Nothobranchius furzeri: one gene and its partners. The protein of the gene in region 4 purifies or fractionates together with the protein of the main gene of each other region. This does not show direct contact. Links are inferred from orthologs where the notes say so. Each region holds a gene or a part of one and is shown on either strand. Other genes may lie near its edges. The genes, in order: mrgbp, nap1l1, histone acetyltransferase KAT5, histone H2A.Z, chd4b, wdr5 and trrap.

Evidence for each region.
Region 1: the proteins of histone H2A.Z (region 4) and mrgbp purify together in Homo sapiens (affinity purification with mass spectrometry; 4 studies listed by BioGRID and IntAct, with this or other methods). This does not show direct contact. The link is inferred for Nothobranchius furzeri from reciprocal best matches to the Homo sapiens genes H2AZ1 and MRGBP.
Region 2: the proteins of histone H2A.Z (region 4) and nap1l1 purify together in Homo sapiens (affinity purification with mass spectrometry; 3 studies listed by BioGRID and IntAct, with this or other methods). This does not show direct contact. The link is inferred for Nothobranchius furzeri from reciprocal best matches to the Homo sapiens genes H2AZ1 and NAP1L1.
Region 3: the proteins of histone H2A.Z (region 4) and histone acetyltransferase KAT5 purify together in Homo sapiens (affinity purification with mass spectrometry; 6 studies listed by BioGRID and IntAct, with this or other methods). This does not show direct contact. The link is inferred for Nothobranchius furzeri from reciprocal best matches to the Homo sapiens genes H2AZ1 and KAT5.
Region 5: the proteins of histone H2A.Z (region 4) and chd4b purify together in Homo sapiens (affinity purification with mass spectrometry; 3 studies listed by BioGRID and IntAct, with this or other methods). This does not show direct contact. The link is inferred for Nothobranchius furzeri from reciprocal best matches to the Homo sapiens genes H2AZ1 and CHD4.
Region 6: the proteins of histone H2A.Z (region 4) and wdr5 purify together in Homo sapiens (affinity purification with mass spectrometry; 3 studies listed by BioGRID and IntAct, with this or other methods). This does not show direct contact. The link is inferred for Nothobranchius furzeri from reciprocal best matches to the Homo sapiens genes H2AZ1 and WDR5.
Region 7: the proteins of histone H2A.Z (region 4) and trrap purify together in Homo sapiens (affinity purification with mass spectrometry; 3 studies listed by BioGRID and IntAct, with this or other methods). This does not show direct contact. The link is inferred for Nothobranchius furzeri from reciprocal best matches to the Homo sapiens genes H2AZ1 and TRRAP.

The regions. Positions count from the first base shown.
Region 1 is NC_091755.1:46,194,091-46,198,043, reverse strand, and holds the start of mrgbp (MRG/MORF4L-binding protein), read right to left. Parts: upstream 2,801-3,953; 5' UTR 2,667-2,800; coding exon 2,525-2,666; intron 1,734-2,524; coding exon 1,612-1,733; intron 1,530-1,611; coding exon 1,448-1,529; intron 1,217-1,447; coding exon 1,142-1,216; intron 1,000-1,141; coding exon 764-999; 3' UTR 1-763.
Region 2 is NC_091741.1:58,518,278-58,522,265, forward strand, and holds the start of nap1l1 (nucleosome assembly protein 1-like 1), read left to right. Parts: upstream 1-1,188; 5' UTR 1,189-1,324; intron 1,325-3,988. UniProt on the Homo sapiens protein: Histone chaperone that plays a role in the nuclear import of H2A-H2B and nucleosome assembly.
Region 3 is NC_091750.1:47,314,777-47,318,717, reverse strand, and holds the start of histone acetyltransferase KAT5, read left to right. Parts: upstream 1-1,141; 5' UTR 1,142-1,210; coding exon 1,211-1,240; intron 1,241-1,320; coding exon 1,321-1,387; intron 1,388-3,941. UniProt on the Homo sapiens protein: Catalytic subunit of the NuA4 histone acetyltransferase complex, a multiprotein complex involved in transcriptional activation of select genes principally by acetylation of nucleosomal histones H2A and H4.
Region 4 is NC_091743.1:88,106,831-88,109,832, forward strand, and holds histone H2A.Z, read right to left. Parts: upstream 1,841-3,002; 5' UTR 1,706-1,840; coding exon 1,703-1,705; intron 1,417-1,702; coding exon 1,339-1,416; intron 1,217-1,338; coding exon 1,103-1,216; intron 1,026-1,102; coding exon 896-1,025; intron 819-895; coding exon 757-818; 3' UTR 501-756; downstream 1-500. UniProt on the Homo sapiens protein: Variant histone H2A which replaces conventional H2A in a subset of nucleosomes. Nucleosomes wrap and compact DNA into chromatin, limiting DNA accessibility to the cellular machineries which require DNA as a template.
Region 5 is NC_091745.1:74,018,085-74,021,584, reverse strand, and holds part of chd4b (chromodomain-helicase-DNA-binding protein 4), read left to right. Parts: intron 1-214; coding exon 215-336; intron 337-414; coding exon 415-588; intron 589-3,500. UniProt on the Homo sapiens protein: ATP-dependent chromatin-remodeling factor that binds and distorts nucleosomal DNA. Acts as a component of the histone deacetylase NuRD complex which participates in the remodeling of chromatin.
Region 6 is NC_091746.1:41,695,250-41,699,545, reverse strand, and holds the start of wdr5 (WD repeat-containing protein 5), read right to left. Parts: upstream 2,801-4,296; 5' UTR 2,614-2,800; intron 1,807-2,613; 5' UTR 1,781-1,806; coding exon 1,703-1,780; intron 1,517-1,702; coding exon 1,408-1,516; intron 1,002-1,407; coding exon 928-1,001; intron 377-927; coding exon 287-376; intron 1-286.
Region 7 is NC_091756.1:29,470,916-29,475,173, reverse strand, and holds the start of trrap (transformation/transcription domain-associated protein), read right to left. Parts: upstream 2,801-4,258; 5' UTR 2,706-2,800; exon of another isoform or gene 2,693-2,705; intron 1,849-2,692; 5' UTR 1,806-1,848; coding exon 1,706-1,805; intron 787-1,705; coding exon 737-786; intron 555-736; coding exon 444-554; intron 1-443. UniProt on the Homo sapiens protein: Adapter protein, which is found in various multiprotein chromatin complexes with histone acetyltransferase activity (HAT), which gives a specific tag for epigenetic transcription activation.

The DNA of each region.
Region 1 (3,953 bases), on a different chromosome or scaffold from region 4:
AATCAGCTGCTGCCTCCCTGGAGTCCAGGAACAGACTGATCCGGATGGAGGATCTGGAAGCTTCTGCAGGCTGTACATGAACCGGGTTTCTGAACCTAGAACCCGAGCAGGTCCTGCTAAATACACTGACAGAAATGGTTCCCGTAGGTTTCAGATGGATTCCTTTGACATTTCGGCCAGGAGGCTGCAGACGGATCACAACCATCGTCCTGTTGCTTCTAAAACATGACGTAGACGTAGTGAGTGGGTCAAATCCAAACAGCAGAACATCAGACAGAAGCTGAGAGGTTCTGCTGCTCCTTAGCTCTCCGTCCATCAGAACGTCAGGTTCTGTGGTTCTGGTTCTACGGCAGACCCATAAATACAGCAAGTGGTTCAGTTCTGTCCCAGATTAAACAGGAGTTTAGTCTTCGGTCTGTTCAGCAGAGCATGTGACTGATTTGAAGCTCTCTGATTGGATGTTTGTTGCCGAGGTGCATCCTGGGAGTTGAATCCGAAGTTAGAACCTGGGTTTGGTCTAAAGGACCTGAATCCTGGACTCCGGCCTTAGCACACGGACCGAGGAGCAGAACCCGGTTCTGTCTGAGGAAGATGGGAACGGATCAACAATCTCCGCCCCCCCGATCGGACCGATGGGCAGCAGGAAGTCACACATCAAAAAACACTGAAAAAATATCACCAGAATATAACTGGAAGTCCCATCATCCTCTCCTCCTGCTGTGGTCACATGACAGGTGTAAGGCAGCCAATCAGAGTCCAGCCCTCAGGTGCGCCTCCTCTTGGCACCTCCTGGGCTCACAGGGTTGGAAGACGACAGCAGCTTCTCAGCCGCTCTGCTCCTCTTCCTCTTTTCTGCCTCCTTTGAACCTCCTCCTGCACCTGCTCCTCCTCCCCCTGTTGCTGCTGCTCCTTCTCCTCCTCCCTTCTCCTTTTCGCGCTCCTTCTCCTTATCTCGGCTGCTGCTCGTTCGCTCAGACATCTTCACAGACGAGTTACTTCCTGCAGAGAGAAATAACAAGAAACTGACACACCCAGGCTCGTGATTTAGGAAGGTCAAAGTTCACCAAGCCTGGTTCTGTTCCTAGATCTGGACCAGGGCCGGGTCAGAAGTCTGACTGGGTTCATCCATCTACAACTTTACCTTCTTCATGAGTGGCAGGAGGTTCTCTCTCAATCCTGAACTCCTCCTTGGTCTCCTCCTCTGATCCGTGCTTTCCTGGAACCACAAGAGACCACATCGTGACCGGGCTCGGATCCGACCTCCTATAGGAGCCAACCCTCACCAGCTACATGATTTTAGCCTCAGTCTCATAATCCAGACAACCAGACTAAAGACTTCTGATCAGAACCGGTCTGAAACTGGGTCAAAAACCTGTCTAAGAGCTCCTGATCTTAGGAAAAAGGATGGATGAGGACTAGCGCTGTAGTCTCAGCATTTCCCACCTACCTCCTTTAACTTCCTGGATGATGTCATCAGGTAGAGAGAAGCTCTTCTCTGTGTTTGGAAATGGCAGAATCTCTGATTCATGCTGCGACACACAAACAGCAGGGTCAGCTTCAGCAGCGATGGTGTGTGTGTGTGTGTGTGTGTGTGTGTGTGTGTGTGCGTACCAGAGCCTGCATGTCATACATGGTTCCCAGGTGGTCCCAGATGACGGAGGAGGACACCTGGCGGCCAATGTTCTGACTGAATTTATCTCTGATGCAGATCATGTGGAAGTGACGGTTCACACCTGAAACCAGACACACATCCCATCACAACAACTACGCACAGTGTGTGTGTGTGTGTGTCACACACAACATGTAGTTGGCAGTATGCTCAACACTTTCACAATAAAATGGCCTGTATTTGATACAGCACCCTCTAGAGTCCTGGAGTGAAAAGTAAAACGTCGATCCTGACGGTAATGTGAATAATTACATCCAGGAAGGAAACTCCCGCAGGAAACACAGTTTGAGGTTTTGTGGTGACCACTTGGAGGCAGAACCATAACTTTAAGACACATTGGAGTAATTCTGGTTTGAACTAGGGATACACAATATATCAGCATCAATATCAGTATCAGTCCGATAAGTAAAACTGGGCCGATATTAACAACAGGTATATTTTCAATCTTGTTTGTGTATCTGTTTCAGAGGGTGAGGGGATGAGGATTGTTTAGTCATGTGACAGTGATGATGGTATCGGTATCGGCCCAAAAACTTGATATCAGTGCATCCCTGGTTTGAACCAGTTTGGGTTCTGCCCTCTGCACATCTGGGTCTCACACAGCTGCAGTTCTGGACGGTTCTGCCCCAGATACCCGCCACCGTGTCCGTGTTTTAAACCCTGAAGCACGGTCGCTGGGTTGGTGACATTGTCTGCTTGAACTGTTTACACCGAAGCTCAGAATTCCCCCACAGAAATGGTGAAAATCTGCAGCAGCTGCGCACGCTAACTGGGTTGGTGTGTTCCGGAGCCTCTGGTTGTTTGGGTTTGGCCGCTAGTTGCTAGCAAATGCTAACATTAGCTGCGGTTTCTTACCGACCGGTTTGTGTCCGATCATCGCGTGGAACAAACAAACCTCCACCTCGTGGCTCCAGACCACCGAGTCCTCACCGGGAACCAGCCCCGAATCCGGGGGCTTGTCGTCGGTCTGACTCAGTGTTACATCTGCTTCCCCCATCTTTAAACCTGACTAAACAGGCTAACAAGAGAGCCGTCTGCAACCGGAACTCAGATGCCACTTCCGGGAACTGCTTTTCAAAATAAACAGGTAGCGTTTCCTGAAGTTAAACCTACTGGTTTGTGGAGAAAAACAACAAACGCGTTTTCCATAAACTCTCTTCATACTTGCATAAATACGACACGAGTCGTGGGACTGCAACATAAGGAGGAAGTCTGGAAGCAAGCGGGAGTTTTCAGCTTCTAAAAGGCGTGAACAGAATGGCCAACATGCAGGAGCTCCTGATTCAGATTTCAGATTTATTGGCCAAGTAAAATTAAATTCACAAGGAATTTGGCTTCGGTAGATGTTCGCTCTCTAAAACATACAACAACCACAATAAATGAGAAAAAAAATACCTAAAAACAAATAAGAACATGTATACCCACACACATGTTCATCTACACACACACATATATACATACACACACATATCCATAAGCATACTGAATAAGTATTAAAACCTATAATAAAAGGATGGTAAAATAATCTACAGATTCAGGAGAGAAATGGCTGAAGGAAACTGTTCTTGTGTCTGGTAGTTTTTGTGTACAGCGATCTATGTATGTATGATGTGATCTCTACCATCTCTTTGACCATCATCATCATCTACGATCACTCTGACCATGCAGGCTTTTATACTTGTGCCTTTATGCTTCTTCGATCATTGGAAGCTGCTTCTGCAGGAAGTTTGTCGCCATCTGGTGGCAATTTACTAACATTACAGCATTCGTGCAAAAGAATAAACGTTTCTAACATTATCTGATGGGAGAAAACAATCTTTATTATGATTTCTTAATCTAGACAAAGCCCCTGTGTGTTTGTGTCTGCAGCCATCAGGTCCGAGCTGTTACTGAGGGATTCAGGGCTCCTGTTTGAACCAGAGGAACAATCACAACAAAAGAACAGAGATCCCACCATCAGTTTACCACCACAAGCAGGACAGGTTCAATTATGGAATACTAGAAGCTGAAGTAAGGAATTTCTTTCTGAACAGGCCTGGATTGGTTTGTCCTTTGATGTGGTGAACTGGAAGTGGTCGCCGGCTGAAAAAGGTTTATTCACAAACTCACAGACAAACTTCAGATACTGGTCATCTGGAGAACCAAACAGCATTTGGTACGAGGCACAGTGCACTCATATGCATGACAACGGACTTTGGGACGACGCTCCGTGTGAGTGGCTCTATAAACCCATCTGCTCCAGCGCCAGCGGTGAGATCTTCAACAAGCACACGTCTGAGGTTTT
Region 2 (3,988 bases), on a different chromosome or scaffold from region 4:
AAAGCTCTCTAAGTTAGGTTCCATCACTGCTTTCAAATCTCATCTTAAAATGCACTATTTCTCCTTGGCTTTTAACTTTTAAACCCGGTTCTGGTATTTTGTCTACAGGTTTTTCCTCCTTGCATCTTCGTTGCTTAATTTTACATTTTCTGGATTTTATGGTTCTAATTACCTGTTTGGTTTTTATTCCTTTGATTTTAACGGTACTGTCAATTTTATTGTGATTGATCAGTTGTAATACTGTGTTAAAAGTGTTCAACAAATAAAATGGTAATGTGTGGTTTACCTGATGATTAAAAAGCACTCTTTTATATGCATGTATAAATGAATAATGTAAAACAGTTTCTTGTCCGGGGATCGGACCGCCAAGGTTCCCGCCTTGGTCTGCCACCCGATCCACATTGCACCGGACCCTTCATGTTCCTCCTGCGGGTGGTGGGTCCACAGTTGGATGAGCCCATGTATCCGGTTCGGGCTGGGCCTGGCCGGGCCCCATGGGCGGATACAAGCGGCCGAAATTAGTTTCCTCCGTAGGGTAGCCGGGCTCAGCCTTAGAGATGGGGTGAGGAGCTCGGACATTCTGGAGGGACTCGGAGTAGAACCGCTGCTCCTCCGGATCGAAAGGAGCCAGTTGAGGTGGTTTGGGCATCTGGTCAGGATGCCTCCTGGACGCCTCCCCGGGGAGGTGTTTCGGGCATATCCTGCCGGCAGGAGGCCCCCGGGTCGACCCAGGACACGTTGGAGAGGTTACATCTCCAATCTTGTCCGAGAACGCCTTGGGGTCCTGCCGGAAGAGCTGGTGGAGAAGGCCGGGGAGAGGACGGTCTGGACGGAGCACCCTAGTTGGGATGCTGCCCCCGCGACCTGGACCCGGATAAGCAGAGGAAGACGACGGCAATGTAAAACAGTATGATAATTAATATATTTAAGGGAGGGGGGGATGGCACAAGCCTACCCCAAACAGGCAAGATGCTGACAAGATGCTGAGAAGATAATCCTAATTTTATAATGAAAATATAACTTTTTAAAGAACGTGCTCAAGCTCGGGTAATAACTGAAAAACATGGAGATCATAAATGGATAGAGTGATGAAGAGTAGCGTGATCATGATGGTTTTTTAACGTTTGTTCACCCACCAAGGAGGAAAATCTCGCGCCCCTCCCATGAGCGTTGCCTCGGTGACCGCCCGTTTACGTGATGACGTCGGATGTATATGAGCGCAGGCGGCGGGATCTCTCTCCCTTTTACCGCCATCGGAGCGGAGTCTCTTTTCTTCACTGCGTAGTGTCCCTCGTCTAGTCCAGTCTCCGGTCTCAGAGCGAAGGTAAGGGACGGCAGCTGGTAGTGGTTCGGACACCGACGCCCCGAACTCTCCCGTGAGCGACGAAGTTCGGGTTTAATGCTGTAGCGTAAACAAACCGGCTGAGAAGGGAAGACGGCGGTGCTCTGCTAATGCTAGCGAACCAGATAGCGGCAACAGCAGCAGCCATTGAGACTTGCTCCTCCATGATGTGTTAACCATTGACTGTTAGGTGTTAACGTTACACGCGCTTTAAAAATGGTAAAACAGCGGCCATCTTCGTGTGTCTTTAGTAGTTTTCTTTCCCGAATAATGAAGTCGTTAAAGTATAGCACCTCAGACGTTTCCCGCAACTGTCGATTGTTTGCGACATTTTGTTGACACGTGTTTCGTCATTTTTGCATTTATTGACTTGACCTCGTTTTTTTCTGTGAAGCTGATGCTTGGAGTGGGGAACGGACTGGTCAAGGCCGATGGACATTTGTGTTGCATAAGGGAGAAAACGTGTTACCGAAGAGGTGGCACCGATTTCTAAGTGGACGGTATTGTGTGGTCCTGTTCCTCCCACTGGCTCAGCTCGGGCAGTGCGCATCAAGCTAAGCGACCTGCTAGCTTAACTAGCAGGAAGTGTTGAAGCATTCAGCAGCGGACAGGCCGGCTAAAGTTTCCCCGGTGATGAGCCAGGGGCTCGGCCTGCGTTTGTAGCGACAAAGCGCTCCTTTGCTGTTCAAGCAGGTTGGCGTTTTAACTCGGGTTGATGTAGTTCCAGAATGTGGCTTCAAAACAAGAAGCGACATAGCGGGACTTGAAAATGTGTGATGGTTTGGTAGACTTCAGCATGCAACACGTGGTCGGTGGATGGAGACGAAAAGACCTAAACAAAAGAATGATTTGGACGGTCTGTTGGTCCGTGATGGTAAACGTGTGTGAACCGCACTGCCTGTGTTAACCTTTGGATTAAAGACGAGTCCATTGTTGTTGGGCTGTGGAATCATAAAATACACTTGATATTAAAATAAGTTTATTTTTGTATTTCAGATTTTAGAGTGGAGGCTCAGATTAGCACTTATTCTGAAAACGTTAATTTGTAATCAATAGTTATTTAAAATCTGAATATCCTTTCATTGAGTTTAAATTCTAATTTCTAATACAGTTATGTTCAAAAGGATGGCTACAAGTACAGAGTGCTTCCAAATGACTCGAGTTAGTCTATGAAACGCATTTTATAAAGTCTTTGAGTTATTTAAATGTTTTAGTTCTAATTAGATGTTTAAAGGTTTAAATGAACATAGCAGTGAGGCGCATATCATCTGGAGATTTAACAAGGTCAAGTCCAGTTCACTAGACATTTAATTGAAACTGGTTGAGTTCATTTTACTCTCCTATACTTGATGTTAGTTCAAGTCAGCTTAAAAAACCTTAACGCAAACCCTTCTGGTGGTTTTCAGTCCTGGTTGCACACACACAAGTCAAAGTGCCACTACATTAAGTCGTGGAGATGTGATTCAATATGTTGGCGTCTGTTCCAGATACAGATGTAGATTTTAGGTTGTATGGGATCCCCATGTCTGCCTTTGTCACTGATTTCTAGACATGGCTAAGGTGTTGAGGGGATTTGTTTTGGTGGCCTAAGGATAAAGTCTCGGCTTTCTGCAGAGGATGTGGGCCTGTTTGCTTCATCAGGCAATGATCTCCAGCTTTTGCTGGAATGGTCTTAAGCCCGATGTGAAGTAGCAGGGATGAAAATTGGTACCTCCAAATAAGAGAAAATGGTTGATAGAAATTTTGGCTGGACAGTAAATAGAAAATTGGATTTAGAGGCCTGCCAATGGGGTTTTTTCCCCCCAGACCAATGCCGATTTCTAAAGAATTTCGTTGCCAATGGCCGATATCTAAAGCCGATTATTAAGGCTGATATATACATTTTAGCAGCACATTGATTGTGAAAGAAAACTGAACACTCACTGTGTGCAATATAAATTACATAAGTCAATAAATCTCTTAATATTTATTGAACTTCAAGTATAAAACAAACACAAAACATAAAAAAAACCAATGTGTTGTGGTCCTTCGGATCCTTTCTTCAGTCTAGTAGTGGCGGCAGTTGGCCACACAGGTTTATTTATTTTTATCAGCTTTTTAAAATAATTTTGGCCGATATAGAAAAATTGAATATATTTGTTGGCCTTTAATGGAAATGAGCTATTAAAGATAGGAAGGTTGGTCACCCTGGAAGGGCTCAGAGTAGATCTGCTGCTCCTCCATATCAGCATTAAGTAACTTAATGGCACTAGTAACTTGCTGTGCTGCACATGTTTTGATTGGGCATTGGAATATTTTCATATGTAAAGAAGGCCTCTGGTATTCACTCATGTTTTGAGTTGTACAAAGGAAATTTACTTATGTCATACATATGAATGGTTTGATACATCTGTGTATCAGCCACAGAGACTCAAACAAGTCTCTGTGGCTAAGGTCCACATGTTTGCTTTAGTGCTGGTCAGGGTCCTGTTTTGTCGTTGTTATGAAGTTAAACTCCTGTTTCAGTCAAAGAGTAAAAAGTAAATTTAAGGTCATGTTTGGTGTGTCCTTGGTATGTTTTCCTTCTTTTGTTCCCCGGTGAAAAGAAACAAATAGTGTTGAACAGCACATTTTTCTCAGATGGACAAAGGAGAGAACGAGTCCGTT
Region 3 (3,941 bases), on a different chromosome or scaffold from region 4:
ATTTGACATTAATGAGGCACCAGCGTCTAAATCTACCAGAGATCTAACGAGATGACAACTTCAGGTGCAATTTTATTGTTAATTTTAACATTTTACTGGACACATGAATTTAATCAGATGCTTCTTAACAGCTCATTAAGGAGGGTAAACATGGGGGTTGTGTTCTCCAACATTTCAGTGATGTACTATTAAATTAGGAAGATTTTCTATTGCACATGTTTAGAAACTGATTAAAATCTGATCAAAATTTAAGTTTAGTTTGAATGGTTTGTCATACTTTTTTTTACAGCAGGAAACAATATGGATGTAAACTTGTGATATAGTAAAATCCATTTTGCTCCATAAGCATGTTACTTTGTAAAATTCCCTCTTTCCTAAAAGAAAACAAAACACATTATGAGTCGGCAAAGCTCTCAGCAATTACAGGAAAAACTAATAATCTCACCTCTATAATAATGTGATTAACTGCAGCATTTTTGCTCCCAACAATGGAAGACTGCTGCTCTCGTGTGGCAGATTGGTGCAAAAATACACTTGCTTCATAATGCAGTACAAACCTTTTTAACTTCACACACACACACACACACACACACACACACACACACACACACACACACACACACACACACACACACACACACACACACACACACACACAGGAAGTTGACTTACCATGTCACTTTAATTTACAAATTAACTAATTTGATCACGCAATCCAAATGTTGTTGTAATGGCTTGGGTCCGCCAGAGGGCGGAAAAATCTTTACTCTAGACAGGATCGAGTTCTCGTGTTCCGTGAAACTGACCTAAATAAAACATATAAATGCCTTATAGACTGAGTTGGTTTTCATCAATTAAATCAAACGACTAAATAAATTTTTTTTAAAGTTCACATAGATAAAAAAGTCAAATAGAACAGCATTTCTATTTTGTTACTGGTTTAGTTGTATATAGTTTTTATTGTAATTATTTGAGTGGTGTATACATTCTTTGTGAAATTCAAATACATAAATTCTCTTCCTGTTTAAAACATAATGTGTTATTACTATTAATAACTCAAGTAGTGAAGCCATTCTGTTTGCGTTGTTTGCCTCATTTAAGATAGCTCACTAACTTCCGGTGACAGGGCACAAACAACTATCTTGACGTATGTTTTCATCTTTGGCGTGGACCGGCATTTTCCCACAACACCCTGCTGCTGCACTCACAGATGACGAAAATGGTGGACAGCTCGTCTTCGGTAGGTTCTCCAGAGAAACTATGCTACTTTTTAGACATTGACCATTATTTGGTTGTAAAATAACGTTTCATCAACAACAGGTCGAAATTGTCGAAGGCTGTCGCCTACCGGTTCTTCGTAAAAACCAAGAACACGAGGACGAATGGCGTAAGTGTTGTCCGTTTGTTTCCCTGGTGCTAAGCTAATGCTAACTATCGAAGCTCAGCTGGCTGTTAGCAGACACCTCGTCTTCCAGGTAGACAAAAAAACTAAAGTGTTACTAAGATTGAGAAGGTGTGCTAATGTAGAACGCTTTTGAAGCCACTCTTTATTTTTGAGGCTTAACTGTTGAATCCTGTCTGCAGAAGCGTAATCAAATATCTTTATTAAATGTCAACAAACATTCATGTTAATCTTTATTGATTTAGAATATGAACGTTCATTTCTCGCGCAGGAATAAAAACCAACTTCAAATCGTAAGACAAAATGAAGACACTAATAATACAAATGAAATAATTAAGATTTAAAATTAAAATACCAAGTTCAACACACTAAACACTGTTATATCCAGTGTTGGGGAAAGTTACTTTTAAAAAGTAATTAGTAATAGTTACTAATTACTTTGTCAAAAAAGTAACTCACTTACTAACTGAGTTACGAGATTATAAAAGTAACTAATTACCAAGAAAAATAACTACTTATTTACTTTTTTCATTAAAGAATGCAAGAAAATGGGTTAATTGAACTTATTTACTATTAATTACTACAATAGTGAAATATAAATGACTAGTGACTGGAACATAATAAAACGTATGTCAAAATGTTTTTTGTAAACCTGAATAATTTAAATAAATAAGCACTTAACAGGAGGAACAGGAGCATTACACTTATCTAAACTATTAAAACGTCACTGTGTGATATTTAACAAGACCCCAATCAGCTAAAATTTAAAATTGCAAATAGAAACACCTGTAAAGGTTCCCGAGCCTTTAAATGGTCTCTCAGTCTAGTTAAATGACAGAAATGAATGTAAATTACAGTATTTTAACTTTTCCAACTTCACATAATTGTGTGTTATTAGTAGCATTTCTGTTGCTGGTAATCTAGTAATGGTTAAATAAATAAATAAAAATCCTTTAAAATGACAGTAGAAGAGGCACAAATCTGATGGAGGACTTACATTTACTAACGTGGGTCAGACCCAAACACAGAAGAGCTGAAGCTGGGTGGTTCTAATAACACCTGAGCTCCATGACGTTTGAGACTGATGCATCAGTGTTACAGCGGGACTAAAGACATGATCAGAAACAGGCTACAGCTGGATGATCTAGGAAGGTAGAAGATCAGGACGTCTGAGTGGTGAACAGGTGAGCGGACCTTCAGGACGTCCCGCTGTCACGTTAAAGGGCACGGCTGCAGACCCACACCTGCAGCCGTAGACTATTCATCACGTCTTCCTCGTTCTTCACGGGCCGTGATGCACTTGGATGAAAACATCTGCCTCTTTAGCTCCTGATCAGCTGATGACAGCTTCAACACACTGCGCTGCTTAACGCACACATTTCTTATACGTAACAGAAACGACATTTTGATAAAAGAAGATGGTAATTAATTAGGTTGCTCGTTACTGAAAGAAATATTTTTTTTAGTAACGCGGTTATTTTAACCGGCGTTATTCCCATCACTGCTCTGTTGAGTCTACAGCATGCAGTGACTGAGACAGTGAGGGTCTCCGCCCACCCGGCCAATCATCATCGGGTTTGTAAGTGCGTTACTGACACCTCTCTCTCCCTGGCTGCAGCTGAAGTGTGGCGGTCAGAAAGCCTCACACTGTTGCTCAACGTTCGACAAGCACATAGTAACGCACAACCTTCCATCCCCAGTAACGGTAACGGTGTTGCAACAGTGGGAAAAGTAATTAATTAGATTATTCCGTTACCCAAAAAAAGAACGCCGTTATTTTAAACGGCGTTATTCCCATCACTGTTATAGCTGCATAGAAATGCATGGAAGGGCTCTGATAAACTACAGTGTAATTAAACCTGTAGTTTAAACTAGAGGTCGACCGATATTGGTTTGATTGCCGATATGTAAAAGGTCAGCTGATGTCCGATTTGTGCAGCCGATATTTTTATGTCCGATATCTAAATATTTTCACCTTATTTTCATGCTAAAACGTCAGATAACATCAGTTGATGCACAAAATTTCTGAATCAGTTTTTTAACCAACTGTTAAATCCTAATTTTGAACACAGCTCAGTGTTAATATCAGACATTTAAATAAAAGGTAATCAAACAAATCCGTTAAGTGACGTGTCAATTATTTGATATTCAAAACTGGTAAATAAAAATAATTTTGAGTTGGAAATCATTTTTAAAGCAGTGATTAATTTGAAATACTATATTAAAATATTCTAATAAATAGCGTACTTACCCATTTTTAATAACTAGTGTCTCTCAAAACACGACGGCAAGTCTGATCTCGTAAAAACGAAAGTCATTTTCTGCTTCCTGTTCTCAAGTTCGGCCTGATGTGACTATCGCACGACTTTCCGAGAAGTGCTCAGCGGCGCATCATGTTTGACCACTTGACTTCTCAAAACCGCAATGCTTCTGCCGATTTATAAAGAACGCCAAATATTTGCCTTGTATATCGGTCTACCCCTAGTTTAAGCTGTTATTGGTTTAAAACCTAGTTTGACATCTGTAAAGAGCGCTTCAG
Region 4 (3,002 bases):
AAGCCTATTTAAAAGGTTTAAGTACATTTTTTTAGCCAAAATGTGACTCATTTTCCTTCAACCATCTTAATCTCTTCGGCTGTATGTATTTTACAAACCACTCTGGTGTGCCACAAGCAGCAACAAAAAGCTGATGTCACAAAATGTTTGCTTTGAACAGGTTTGTATGCTTAAATTTGGGTATTTATCAATTAAATTTATTTTAAAGTCACTTCGTGCTTTACCACAAAAGCTACCCCTTTTTAATTAAGTTAGGAAATCAGAATTCACTTTTTACCAAATCTTTTGTCAGAATCAACCCCATGTCTAAAAAAAAAAATAAATAAATAAATTAAAAAAAAAGCACAACTTCCTGATCCTCAGCTCGTGATCTTGTCATGCCCTCTAGTGGAGAGCCAAGCCGGCCTGGAAAATAGATTTTTGATGGGACTATGCAACACACACACACAATTTCATTTGAAACACAAGAACTTTAAAAATTACACATAACTGCGGTTGGGTCAAAAAGAAAGGAAAAAGGCTTTATTAAAACACCACTTTAAAATGGGAATGCCACAAAAGCTGTATTTAAACACAAACTGCAGCACCAGAAGGGAAAAAAAATAAAGCTTCTTTGAAGCCACATACAAAAAAAATAATCAAACAGGTGAGTAAATGCAAGCTCTGCCATCAAAATCCTAAATGTGTTTGAATCTAAAACATTTAACCACCTAATGCAGACTTCAATCCTGAGACAACACACACAACACTTCCACTTTATACAGTTTTCTGTTGGCCCTTCTTTCCAATCAAAGACTTGTGGATGTGAGGAATGACACCTGGAAAACAAAGAAAACGTTAAAAACCTCGAGCAGCTTTACAGCGCGCAAACACAGGTGGAGAACCATTTCTTTACCTCCACCAGCGATCGTGGCTTTGATGAGAGAATCCAGCTCTTCGTCTCCCCTGATGGCAAGCTGCAAGTGGCGGGGGGTAATTCGTTTCACTTTAAGGTCTTTTGATGCGTTTCCAGCCAACTCAAGAACCTGACAGAAAGTCGAACTTTAGCTCTGTGCACAAGGCCAGATGTCGCAAGCCATGGTCAAAGTTAAATGAGCGTTACCTCGGCAGTGAGGTACTCCAGGATAGCGGCGCTGTACACGGCGGCCGTGGCTCCTACTCTGCCGTGGCTGGTGGTTCTGGACTTGAGGTGTCTGTGGATTCGGCCCACCGGGAACTGAAGAGAGATCCAAGTTAGCAAACACGGCACATGGGAGAACCAACGAGAGGGCTCCCATCTTAACAACACTAGATACGTGCAGCAGGGATGCTAGCTCAATGAATGAGAACTGGACAGACCTGAAGCCCTGCTCTCTGAGAGCGCGAAATAGCCTTTGTCTTGGTCTTCCCGGAGTCTTTCCCAGCCTTCCCACCAGCCTGAAAAACAAATTCGGTTAGTTACCAGCATCCTGATCACCGAGTACCGTTCGCTTACGTGCACAAAGAAAATAACAAAAGTGCTCACTTCTTCCAGACATGCGACAACTGCTATCTGAGCGCGCCCATCGTGTTAGCTAGCATGCTAAGCTAAGTAGGAGGCTAATACGAACGGCTAACAGATAACACAAAATAAACCCTACAACTAGGGTTTATTAAATGCCCTGAATCAACATCCCGTAGTTGTGTGGTTGACATAACACGTTCCACAATATATAAAACCCACCATTTTAAATTCTTCTCAATTAGTTTCTTCGCCGCGAAACACTAATGGCCTTCTTAGCTGCCGTAGTTACTTTCACTACGCCGCTTTCTTGAACGTTTCTCAAACCGTCTTTATCCGGGTAACGGATATGAGCCAATCATACGTCATTACAACTTTCAGCCAATAAACGCCAATATCCATTTCCGCAAACAGGGGCTGAGCTCGCTGCAGACCCGCTACTGCCATCTTGGATCGGTCGAGCCCTTTGACAGAGGCATGGAAGTGTGAGCATGTTAAATCAACCATAACTCCTTGAATTCTCAACCAATTTTGATGCATTTTTTCCCCTGCAAACATCACACATGCGGCTTTGATACAGGACACATGTTTTAACGTTTTTAATCATAGTGGGTTTGCTGTGGGTACATATGTGACTCTTGTCCAGGCTTATAGAAAAAGAGGATCAATCACTTTAAATCAAACAATTTCAATTCAATTCAATAATTTATTTCACTCAAAGTTTAAATATACAAACTTCAAATTAGAATATAAGCATTCAAGTGAAATAGGGGAGGAAGAAGAAAAAATCTTATATGACCTACCCCCTTTAACTAAGACAAGATAAATAACAAAGAGTACAAAATAGCCTTATACACAAAAAATAAACCGCTCTCTTACTTCCACAAATAATATCACTACTAAAAAATTAATCCTCCATCCTCAACTCACCAAATCATACGATTTTAGCATTTTATCTTCATACATTTTTTTAAATTGATCAGTAGTTGTACATTTTTTTAATTCATCATCCAGGTTATTCCATAATTGCACACCATATATTGAAATACACATTTGCTTTAATGTAGTACAAACAAATATCCTTTTAAACTCTGGTTTCTATCTACTCTTATCATTTTTTGGGATCAAAACAAAGAACCTTTGTAGATTAGTTGGCAGTAAATTATTTCTAGCCTTAAACATAATTAGTAAAATTTTCAAGTTAACTAAGTCTTTGAATTTCATAATTTTAGACAGAACAAAATATTTGTTAGTATGTTCTCTCGGATTTGCTTTATATAGAATTCGCAAAACTTTCGTCTGTAACAGAAACAAAGGATTAGTGTTTGTTTTATACTTATTTCCCCAAACCTCAATACAATAAGTTAAGTATGGTAAGATAAATGAATAATATAATGTCTGAAGCGTTGAAATTTCTAGAAAACAATGAGAATCTAAATAATTTTAAAACGTTCATACAACAAGTGTCTGACATCTATGGCAGTATTTAAAAAAAACACACTTAATATATGATGGAGAGACA
Region 5 (3,500 bases), on a different chromosome or scaffold from region 4:
ACGTGGTTAGCACCGGTTCCCGGCAATAGCTGGAAATTATAGCTTTAATTTTTAACATAGCTTAAATTTGGTCAAAGTGGCCTTAAAAAAGCCTTCAAAGTCTTAAATTTGGCTCCCTTAAACCTGCAGATACTCAATGCTTTGCTGTGCTTTATGAATGAGCATATTTTCAGAGATTTCTTGTCATTTTCCCTGTTTTTCTCTCTAATTCTAGTTCTTTAGGCAGTTGAACAACTATTCACTGCAACACAAACTTCTGCTCACTGGAACCCCTCTTCAGAACAACCTGGAGGAGCTTTTTCACCTGCTGAACTTCTTGACTCCAGAGAGATTCAAGTTAGTTGCTTTATGTTTTGTTTTTGTGGTGAAGCTCACAGGGACAGAATTTTAATCATTTGTTCATATTTTTTGCAGTAACCTTGAAGGGTTTCTGGAGGAGTTTGCAGACATCGCCAAAGAGGACCAAATCAAGAAACTCCATGACATGTTGGGACCCCACATGCTCAGGAGGCTGAAGGCCGATGTGTTCAAACACATGCCTTCTAAAACAGAACTCATCGTTCGAGTGGAGCTGAGCCCCATGCAGAAGTAAGTAGGGTTGTCACGGTAACCGGTGTAGCGGTAAACCCCGGTAAAAAAGTTGACGATAATAATAACCGTCTTGTTTTTTAAAAAATATATTATCTCGGTGGATTACCGTGGCTGCGGTATAGGCGCGGTGACTCTTACCAGCCACCGTATCATCTGCTGAAGTTGCCGGCGGCACATGCACACTTTGTCGTCGTCTTCCTCCGCTTATCCGGGTCCGGGTCGCGGGGGCAGCATCCCAACTAGGAAGCTCCAGACTGTCCTCTCCCCGGCCACCTCCACTAGCTCCTCCGGCAGGACCCCAAGGCGTTCCCGGACCAGATTGGAGATGTAACCTCTCCAACGTGTCCTGGGTCGACCCGGGGGCCTCCTGCCGGCAGGACATGCCCGAAACACCTCCCCAGGGAGGCGTCCAGGAGACATCCTGACCAGATGCCCAAACCACCTCAACTGGCTCCTTTCGATCCGGAGGAGCAGCGGTTCTACTCCGAGTCCCTCCCGAATGTCCGAGCTCCTCACCCTATCTCTTAAGGCTGAGCCCGGCCACCCTACGGAGGAAACTCATTTCAGCCGCTTGTATCCGCAGTCTCGTTCTTTCGGTCATTACCCAAAGCTCATGACCATAGGTGAGGATTGGGACGTAGATCGACCGGTAAATCGAGAGCCTGGCTTTCTGGCTCAGCTCCCTCTTCACCACGACAGATCGGCTCAGCGTCCGCATCACTGCAGACGCCGAACCAATCCACCTGTCGATCTCCCGATCCCTCCTACCCTCACTCGTGAACAAGACCCCGAGATACTTAAACTCCTCCACTTGAGGTAGGACCTCTCCCCTGACCTGGAGTTAGCAAGCCACCCTTTTCCAGTCGAGAACCATGGTCTCAGATTTGGAGGTGCTGATCCTCATCCCAGCCGCTTCACACTCGGCCATGAACCTACCCAGCAAGAGCCGAAGATCAGAGCTGGATGAAGCTAGGAGGACCACATCATCCGCAAAAAGCAGAAACGAGATTCTCCTGCCACCAAACTCGACACACTCCACACCACGGCTGCACCTAGAAATTCTGTCCATAAAGTTAATGAACAGAACCGGTGACAAAGGGCAGCCCTGGCGGAGTCCAACCCTCTCCGGGAACAGGTCCGACTTACTACCGGCTATGCGGACCAAACTCACCCTCCTCTGGTAAAGGGACTGAATGGCCCTTAACAGAAAGCCACCCACCCCATACTACTGGATGACCCTGGGGACACGGTCATAAGCCTTCTCCAAATCCACAAAACACATGTGGATTGGTTGGGCAAACTCCCATGCCCCCTCCATCACCCTTGCAAGGGTATAGAGCTGGTCCATAGTTCCATGGCCAGGACGAAAACCACATTGCTCCTCAATCTGAGATTCAACTATCGATCGGACCCTCCTCTCCAGTACCTTGGAGTAGACCTTTCCAGGGAGGCTGAGGAGTGTGATCCCCCTATAGTTGGAACACACCCTCAGGTCACCCTTCTTAAAGATGGGGACCACCACCCCGGTCTGCCACTCCACAGGAACTGCCCCCGATGACCACGCAATGTTGTAGAGACGTGTCTACCACGACAGCCCTACAACATCCATAGCCTTGAGATACCCAGGACGAACCTCATCCGCCCCCGGGGCTCTGCCGCTGTGCAGTTGTTTGACTACCTCAGCAACTTCTGCCCCCAAGATTGGACAGTCCATCCCCAGGTCTCCCGGCTCTGGTTCCTCCTTGGAATGCGCATAGGTGGGATTGAGGAGCTCCTCAAAGTATTCCTTCCACCGTCCGACTATATCCCCAGTTGACGTCAGCAGCTCCCCATCCCCACTGTAAACAGTGTGAGCGAGTTGCTGCCTTCCTCTCCTGAGGCGCCGGACAGTTTGTTAGAACCTCTTTGGAGCCGATCGATAGTCTTTCTCCATGGCCTCACCAAACTCCTCCCACGCCCGAGATTTTGCCTCGGCAACTGCCACTGCTGCACTCCGCTTGGCTATCCGGTACCTGTCTGCTGCCTCCGGAGACCCACAGACCAGCCACGCCCTGTAGGCCTCCTTCTTCAGCCTGACGGCTCCCCGAACCTCTGGTGTCCACCAGCGGTTACGTGGGTTGCCACCACGACTGGCACCGGCCACCTTACAACCACAGCTAGCAACAGCCGCCTCAAAAATCGCAGAGTGGAACAAGGCCCACTCGGAGTCAATGTCCCCCACTGCTCTCGGGACGCGATTAAAGCTCTGCCGGAGGTGGGAGTTGAAGACCATCTTGACAGGTTCTTCTGCCAGGCGTTCCCAGCAGACCCTCACTATGCGTTTGGGTCTGCCAGGTCTACGTGGCATCTTCCCCTGCCATCTGATCCAACTCACCACCAGGTGGTGATCAGTTGACAGCTCCGCTCCTCTCTTCACTCGAGTGTCCAAAACATACGGCCGCAGATCAGATGATACGACTACAAAGTCTATCATCGACCTGCGACCTAGGCTGCCCTGGTACCAAGTATACCGATGGGCATCCTTATGTTCGAACATGGTGTTCGTTATGACCAAACTGCAGCTTGCACAGAAGTCCAATAAGGAAACACCACTCGAGTTCAGATCAGTTCCTCCCAATCACACCCCTCCAGGTCAAGCTGTCATTGCCCACGTGAGCATTGAAGTCCCCAAGCAGGACAATGGAATCCCCCGATGGAGCACTATCTAGCACTCGTCCCAGAGACTCCAAAAAGGGTGCGTACTCTGAACTGATATTTGGCCCATAAGCACAAACAACAGTCAGGACCCGTTCCCCGACCCGAAGGAGGGAAGCTACCCTCTCATCCCCCGGGGCAAACCCCAACACACAGGCAGAGAGTCTTGGGGCTAACAAAAAGCCAACCCCAGCCCTCCGCCTCTCACCCGGAGC
Region 6 (4,296 bases), on a different chromosome or scaffold from region 4:
ACGGTTAGCTTCTACCAGCCGAGATGTTCTATGCTGTTTTCTGGACGCTAAACCAACAATAGCCGTCCTCGTCATGAGCCAAGATGGGTGAGCCCATGAATGTTTAGTGACAGTGTAACGTGGATCTGTCAGGATTTTCTAACCCTAGACTTTCACCATCTATTTTCTAGCTAATCCAGAAGATAGGAGACTTTTGTCATGTTCAGCCTGCATGAAAAACCTCAGAGTAACTAAAATAATCATTAAAAAAGGTTTTTCAATGAACCACACCTTAAAACATTCTTACCGAGTTAACGTCCCAGATCTTCAGAGTTTTGTCATCCGACGCAGAAACAAGAAGGTTGGAGTCAGATGACCAGGCCACATCAGATATTCCCTGGAAAATAAAGAAATTCTAAGATCTCAAGGCTTCAAGGACATAAAATGATACAAGAGTAAACAATGGAGTCATTTCTCATGTTTATCTTCTAAAAATGTAAATACAATCTTGTTCTTGCTTTGAACGACCAAACAGATCAGACTCAAAGTTTTTATTATTCACTGCATGTGAATACCCTCTGCTGCTGCATGGCACTCAAATGGTGTGTTTGGAATAACAGAAGAAAAAAAGAACAGATATAAATATATAAACAGAAGTACATGTTTACTAGATATGTAGCAGCAGTAAATGTATTCACTTTATATTAGACTTATTGCACTGGTGACTGAGGTTTTTGCTCTAATGCGCATGAGAGGGTTTTAGTACATTTAGTTTACTGCTGTGGGGAAGGGGATTGTTTGCACCAACTGGACGGCAAGAGTCCAAAACAGTAATGACCAGGGTGGGAGGAGTCTTTGATGTTTTAGTAAAAGCGGTGAAACTCTACCTAATACAGTCCTGCAGGCAGAAACACAACAGTGCCACAGGTAAGGGTCCCTTCTACTCACAAGTTTGTGTCCAGAAATGGTTTTCTCAAACTTGCCATCATAAGCGCCCCAGATTTTGATGAGTTTATCAGCAGCTGTAACACAAACAATGAAAAAGACATCATGAAAAAGAGAAAAAAAATGACTGAAAAGTTGCAAAATGGTAAAAAATATATAATTTCCCCATTTCAATCATTTCAGCTGATCAGATATTCAAATGAAACGAGTGTACCCAAAGATAAATACTAAAACCAATAAAAATTTCACAATTGCATAAGAATATTTAGTCACTAAAGCACTGCTATTATTGTTATTTACATTTAACTTAGAGCACAAAATACACTTCATCTATGCAGTACAAGTGTTTTATCAAACTTTAAAAAAAGCTCTGGATCAAACATAGTTTCACAAAACCCAATACATTTTATTATGGAATGAAAGAAGATTTATGTTGAGGTAGCTGAGATTTAAACAAGATATGATTCAAAATGAGATGCTTACACGAGCTGGCGAGCCATTCTCCACTTGGACTGAATTTAACCGAGGACACAGCCTTAGTGTGTCCCGCTAGTGTGAATTTCAAACTGTAGTTTGGTTTTGCAGGTGCAGTCTGCAAAAGAAAACCAGTTCTAATTTAGCAAATGAATAAACATGATGAAATACTTTCAATAAAGAAAGAAAAAATCCGAAATAATGCTGGAATATTGACAGTCCTTAACAAAAACTTAGAATTAAACTATCATAAGAGGACAGGGTGGGAGATTACAGGCAATGCCAAAACTTGGGTTTGTCAGACCTTGCTTTGGCTAGCAGAGGCTGATGGGACAACTGGAGGCTTGGTGTCAGTCTCTGGTTTCTTGTCCTCTGTTGCCATGGTGAGGAAATCAGCATCTATTGCACCTGAGACAAAAGAAGAAACCATAAAAAAAGTTAATAAATCAGGCAAGTTAAACCTAAAGATTAAACAACTGGGATAAGTTATTGGGTGGAAATTTTACAATTTCTAACACCCGGAATTTTAAAGTTTGGAGAAATAAGATAAACCCTCCAGCTCGATGACTGCTAATAACCACCATTAAGGTAAACGTGATTAAAAACTATTGTTTTATCTGTTAGCATTAGCTTCCTTTACTGTGATCTAAAATAAACAGTGGGGTTTACTTTAAATAAGATAAATTAAGTATATATCATGTAAATTTTACTTTAATTAGGCTTATTAATAGGCTGTGATGCTCAAAAGTATTTAAATGCCCGTTTAGGGTCCGTTTAGCTATAAAATTAGCTAATGCAGCTAGCTGAAGTTAGCTAACGTTAAATTGCTCTTACTATGAAAACCGATTGAGGCCAACCCCCTTGTCCGGTTACCGTTTACCATCTTGTGTTGCCTTCAAATGCATTGACACCAGCTCGTTTTTGCTTCGAATTATTATTTATGCGAAAAATAAAAGCAAACAAAGGGAGAACGAGTACGTTCGCTGTAAAGTTCAACACCTGAATATACTTGGGTTACCTTCGAACAAAACAACGTGAAGATCTATAGATTAGAGGCTGTCTCGCGGAATAAAATGTATTTTGGCATGAACGCCACAGTTATATGAAGAAGCTAATCGCAGTTTTGACATGCAGTTGATGCTGTTGACAAGTTATGCAGCCACGAAGGGGGCCTCCATTGAAACAATGAAGATTCGGTTTTACACCGATACTTACGTTGATCAATTTAGATCTACAGTCAGACTGGTACTCCTTGCAAATCCTGGAAATCTAAAACAGTCCGTATAATAACTAAAGAGAGATAGAACAAAGAACAAATCAAGCTATTTGCTTGAGGATGTTTGCCTGGTAAAGGAACGAGCTGCGAGGTGAAGCGGGGAATGTGCTTACAGTTTGCGCAGGCGCATGACGTTCAAAAGTGACGGGAACTAATGAGGGACAATTATGAAAAAATCGTTTCGACTGCCGTTTGAAAAGAGCCCAATAGTTTTAATTAATCTTATTTATTACAAGTTTGTATTTTTTAAATTTAAAATGACAAAAATTCTCAACAGAGAATTTGTAGAAGTACATTATGTGAAATACTTCATCTAAATTTCAATGAAAGGCAGTAGCCATTTAAAAACCAGGCTGTGGCTGTCAGAGTCAATCAATATGCAAAAAGGAAAAGTCTACATGAAACAGAAACAAACACACAGCAAACAAAAATCTAAATAAAACAAACAAATTACATATCTTTAATACGTCGTAACCTTATTTTATGCTTTATGTAGTTATGAACTACTGACTGTGATATTTTCATAGTAAATCACTTGCATTTATTTATATAACCCTAACCATTTACTTTTTAGCTCAATACTTTCCACAATTATAAATATGATTTTGTGAAATGCAGATTTCACACTTTTACCATAAATCAGCTGTGAACGCGCTTTGGATTCTCCGGCTCAACAGATGGCGCTATGAGCACCAGACCTGTCCCTTCAGCCGTGGCTGCAATAGGTCGGGGAAGAAGTTTCTAGTTCTTTTTGAACACACTGCACTCTGGTGTTCACTAGTTTGTTTTGGCTTCGGTGAGCTTTCTTCCAAGCCGTGCAGCGTCAAGCTCCCATGTCAACACGCCCTCTTAAATGAGTTGGTAAACACTTCTGTTGTTATTTTCTTATTTTTACTCATTACTTAGCGGTTAGCCTCCTCCATAACAACAATAGGTGTTTAAAGAAGCGGACTTCTTCGCTTCGTTATATGATAATTTAATTCAAGCTTATTTATTGGCGCTACATTTTGCCCCAAATTAAAGCAAACGTTACTTAACCAAAACCTGTAGTTGGTATTTCGAAACTTATATCAACAGTCGGTGTCACAAAGTGTGTTGTCATCCGCTGCAGTGTCCCTTACCAAACCAGCTAGCTAACTTTATGCTAACGAACATCGTGCATACTTGTGTTTTTATTTCACGATAAGTATTTGAAACGTTTTAAAGCCAATCATGTCGCTTTGTCCAAACCTACATTTTAATACATTTTGAGTAAAACCATCTCGCTTATTTAGTCATTTAGTCTCATTCGTACATTACGCCACGTTTTTCACTGTAAACGAAAAGTATTTGACGATATCTTCTGCGTCACCGCTTATGAAAAGCTTTTACAAGTTATTTCGGGAATCTGAAATCATGTTGACAAATGTCTTCTAACTTTAAACTGAGCTTTGTCTCGTGTTCTGTTCTTGTGGCTAACGTGCACGTTGTCACGTCCGCCAGATTTTTTTTCTATAAATATTTTGAACGTGCACGTTGGTTACGAGTCTCCTGGCTTGAAGAAGGCAAAATTTAGAGAGGTCTCTGATTCAACACAGCTGACTGTAATCAGCAGGTAATTAACGACCATCTTCTGCAGAGCT
Region 7 (4,258 bases), on a different chromosome or scaffold from region 4:
TGTGTGTGTGTGTGTTAGTGGCTCTTCCCTCTTGGCATGCCAGGCAACAGCATTTGTTGCATTTCTCAAACATGAAGTGGGAGTGGAGTAAGTTTCTTGTAGGGGGGTGACTTGCTCTTTTAAATATACGAGTGTCGCAGCAAGGGGTCTGAATAATTAGAACCATGCGATATTTCAGTTTGGTTTTTTTTAATAACTGCAGAAATTTCTAAAATTCTGTGTTTTTCTGTCAATATGGGGTGCTGTGTGTACATTAATGATGAAAAAATGAATTTACCTGATTTTAGCAAATGGCTGCAGTATTATGAAGAGTGAAAAACTGACGAAAGTCTGAATATGTTCCGTACCGACTCTATTCATTACTAGAGAACTTTAGAACGTGGATATAAAGACACGGTAAGTGCAGAAAAAAAAAACAAAGAGGTTTGTTTTTCGTCACATACCTGAGTAGGTTTTTCTTGCAGAAACTGCACCTCTCCATCCTGAAGAAATGTGAGGAAGCGAGGGATGATGTGCTCCAAAAAGGTGGAGTACTGAGGTGAAGATGTCACATTCTGAAAGGGATAAGCCCACAATAGTTTATGCCATTAAGTAATTCAACAAATCAAATCAGAATGATCTGTAGAACTTATCAGAAATCACATTACTCTGATCCTCTTTCTAACCCGTTTCATACGTGTTTAAAAAGTAATCAATAAAACCTCTCAGAAGCACACGCTCAAAACATCTAACTTACCTCAAAGTTCTCGCTGACCTCCTGCATCATCTTCAGCTTAGTTTCATCAGCTGGAAGTTAAAGGACAGTGTAGCCGTTAATCAGACAGCATTAAGGATGCGGATCCACTTCTCACAGCTGTCTGTGTGCTTAGAGTGGGCTCTCAGATCTTATCAGTTTCACTTTCAGCATCCAGCTTAATCAAAAGGTACATCAAGAACCACACACACACACACACACACACACACACACACACACACACACTCCCAGACACTCGTACCTTTGGCTGGACTAAAGCATATCGCCCTCATCACATTGCCCACTCCAAGCACAAAGCTTGAATCTACTCACGTTATAAAATAATGTTTTAATTCACATACATGTGTAGGCTTTTGGCTAAAGTAAATAACTTTGATTTTCCTTTTTAAGCTTGCCTTTCTTTTTAGCAACAAACAAAATCTTCTACTCCCCTAAAACGTCACAGAACCACAAACTGCACAGGTTACAGTTACAGTAGCTCATTAAAAACACAAAGAACAGGAACTTGTAAAAACTTTTTTATCTATAAAGCATCAAATATTATCTTCAAATATTAGTGCAGAGGATGCCAATAAAAAGGGCTGCAATTTATTTTAACGTACACATTTGCATAAATCTTTTTGGCCTTACAGTTAGGTAAACATTATGCCCTTCACAGGACTGAAAGCACAATAATTGTTTGTGTGTGATTATTTTTGCTTAATGTACACACAAGTCAATTATTTGTCTATAATTACAGTTATATGTGGTATTTTAGAAATTCAAACACAAGAATATAAATAAATCAGTACCAATACCAGACTACCATTACTCTCTCTAACAAAATGCAGTGTTTATCAACATTTTGAGGCATTTTCACTATCTGGTTGTATAAATTTAGGAATGTGGTTTATGTCATGTGAGTTTATTATGTCTGCCATTCATCATGAACATCCAGTTTAATGAACTTACGTGTGTTGGTATCTGTGAGCGCTGCCACAAACTGGAGGTATTTCTTCATGAGAGTGGTCTGGTCCACCACCGTGGGGCTGGGAGCTGGAACAAACGCCATGGCGGCCACAGGGACAGACTGAGCAGCCGTCTGCGCAGATTCACTGTGGAAATGAAAGAAAAATAAGTACAAGCTAAGTATGTTCATTCATGCATGGCAACTTAGTAGAAAACTGGCTGTATAATAAAATAAAATATAAAAACAATAGAATAAACAAATGATGAGTAATGTAAAGGCAAATAAAACATTATTTTGGGGGAACAGGCTTCATCTGAAATCTTTTCTTAGCAAAAACTGTTCCGCTGTTTTTTTAAAAGGGCTAATACTGTCGATGCATTTTTACAACATGAACAGGATTATTGCAGAAATTGAAAGTGGTTCTGAATGAAATGCTCAAAAGTGGACATTAAAAGGACAACAGCAGTGGCAGAGTAGTAAAGTACTATGAACTGTTAGATTTTACATAAACTGAAACATATGTTAAAGGAACAATTCGGCAACAAAAGATAAAGTAATGTTTTGTTGACAAACCGTAACGGAGATCAAGAAACAAAACGCTTGTTGATGACGTCATGCACGAAACAGCTAGCAAAATAACAGAAATCCAAATCCTAAAAAGCATCTAAATATACAAATTGGACGCAATAATGGTAAGAGTAATTTAACCGTCTGACGCGCTCATTCTCGTTTCCAGAAAAGGGACAAAAGTTTAGGCACACTATTTTGCAGGATACAGTTAAACGTTAGCAAATAAGCTAGGTCTTCTAAAGAAAGGAAACGCTTCTGCAGCCTTTAACAATGACGGCTGCTTCAGAGAAAACGAGTAAGACCCCACTAACAGGAAACGATATTAGCTTCAATTTAAAAATACACTCAAAATAACGCTCACTAAATTTGCCATAAAAACCCACTTCATTCTCCACCTAAGTTTAAAAGACAGAGCTAACCTTGTGCACCTACCCCGTGCCTGTTCCGCGCCGACAGGAAACACTCTGTACTCTCGCTCTAACAGCCGCGCTCGAGCTCTCAGGCGAAGATGTGAGGTATCCCTCCTCCTGTCGGGTTTCCAGTCATTTATATTGGCTTAGCTACAGTATATTAAAATTTGTATACAACACATAGATCCATAAGAACGACAAAGTTGACATTTGGTAGAGAAAAAAACATGTTGCTGGTCCAAACGTTTTTTCTAGTACCTGCGGAAGGATACAAGCTAAAACAGGAGATATAAGACCATCATTTTCGATGGTCTTCCTCTGTTTTCTATTAGGTCCTTGTAGCTGCGCTCAATCGATTAGATTTCTTTTTATATATAATAATCAAGAACGTTGTAAACACCATTGATAAACAGAACATTACATTTAAACATTTTGTAAGAACGTTTTACTCAAACCGGGCATTAAGAAAACTATTTATGGTTCAATTAGAGGTTTAAAAGCCAAAGTTGTTATTAATGGCTTCATTATTTTAGCGGCTATTTCCCAGGTTACTACATAATATAACCTGCGTAATATTATAAGACCAATCATACAGATGGTTCTATATCTGTTGAATTTGTGCGTGAAATATTTTCACCAGTAGATGGCAGTCCATTAAGGGTGATTGATTTTACTTATGGCGAGGCTTCCGAATCAGAAGGGTTTTATTGCCATATGTGCGAGAAATCACAACATTAGGAAATTGCTGCGGTACTTGGTGCAAAAAGAAATATAAAGTAAGAGATAAGTAAGTATAGGAAGTAAAAATAGTTTAAAGTGGCTATAATTACAGAAACGGCTATTATATACACACCATGTAGGTACTAATCAGAGTGGATCAGTTCAGGTACAAACACATCACTGGTTCATGTGACTGAAGCGAATGGAGTGGGCAGCCCTAGTATTGTCATTCATGAACCCAACAGCAGAGGGGAAGAAACTATTCTTGTGGCGAGAGCCTGAGGTTCTGGTCCGAATGGATCTGAGCCTCCTGCTCGATGGAAGCGAGTCAAAAAGACTGTGTCCAGGTGACACGGGTCAGGTGGCGACATGAGTCCACCATCGTGATGGGAGTGTCAGACAGGGTTTTGGGAGGGATTGGGGCTCCATGCTTCCTAAAGTCCACAACAACCTCCACTGTCTTCTGGGTGTTAAGCACCAGCCAGGTTGTTGTGGCTCCACCAAGACACCAGCCATTCGACCTCCATTCTGTAGGCAGACTCATCCCTGTCAGAGATGAGTCCAATGATGGTGGTGTCATGTGCAAATTTGCTTCACTCGTGGTTGGAGATGCAGCCTTTGGTGTACAGGGATGGACGTAGTATTGTCTTTAGAAGTGTGTGTGTGGGGGGGGGGGGGGGGGGGGGACTAGCATGAAGACCGGGGGTGGGGGTGGGGTCTTTACAGTGTAGCATTCCCAAGGTTTAAGTTTTCATCAAAAATGACAGAAATAAACTTTTTAATTTGCAGAAACAAACACCACATCTGTCTGGCCTCCAAACAGGAAAGCACTGCACAAGACCTTGTTACTAAACA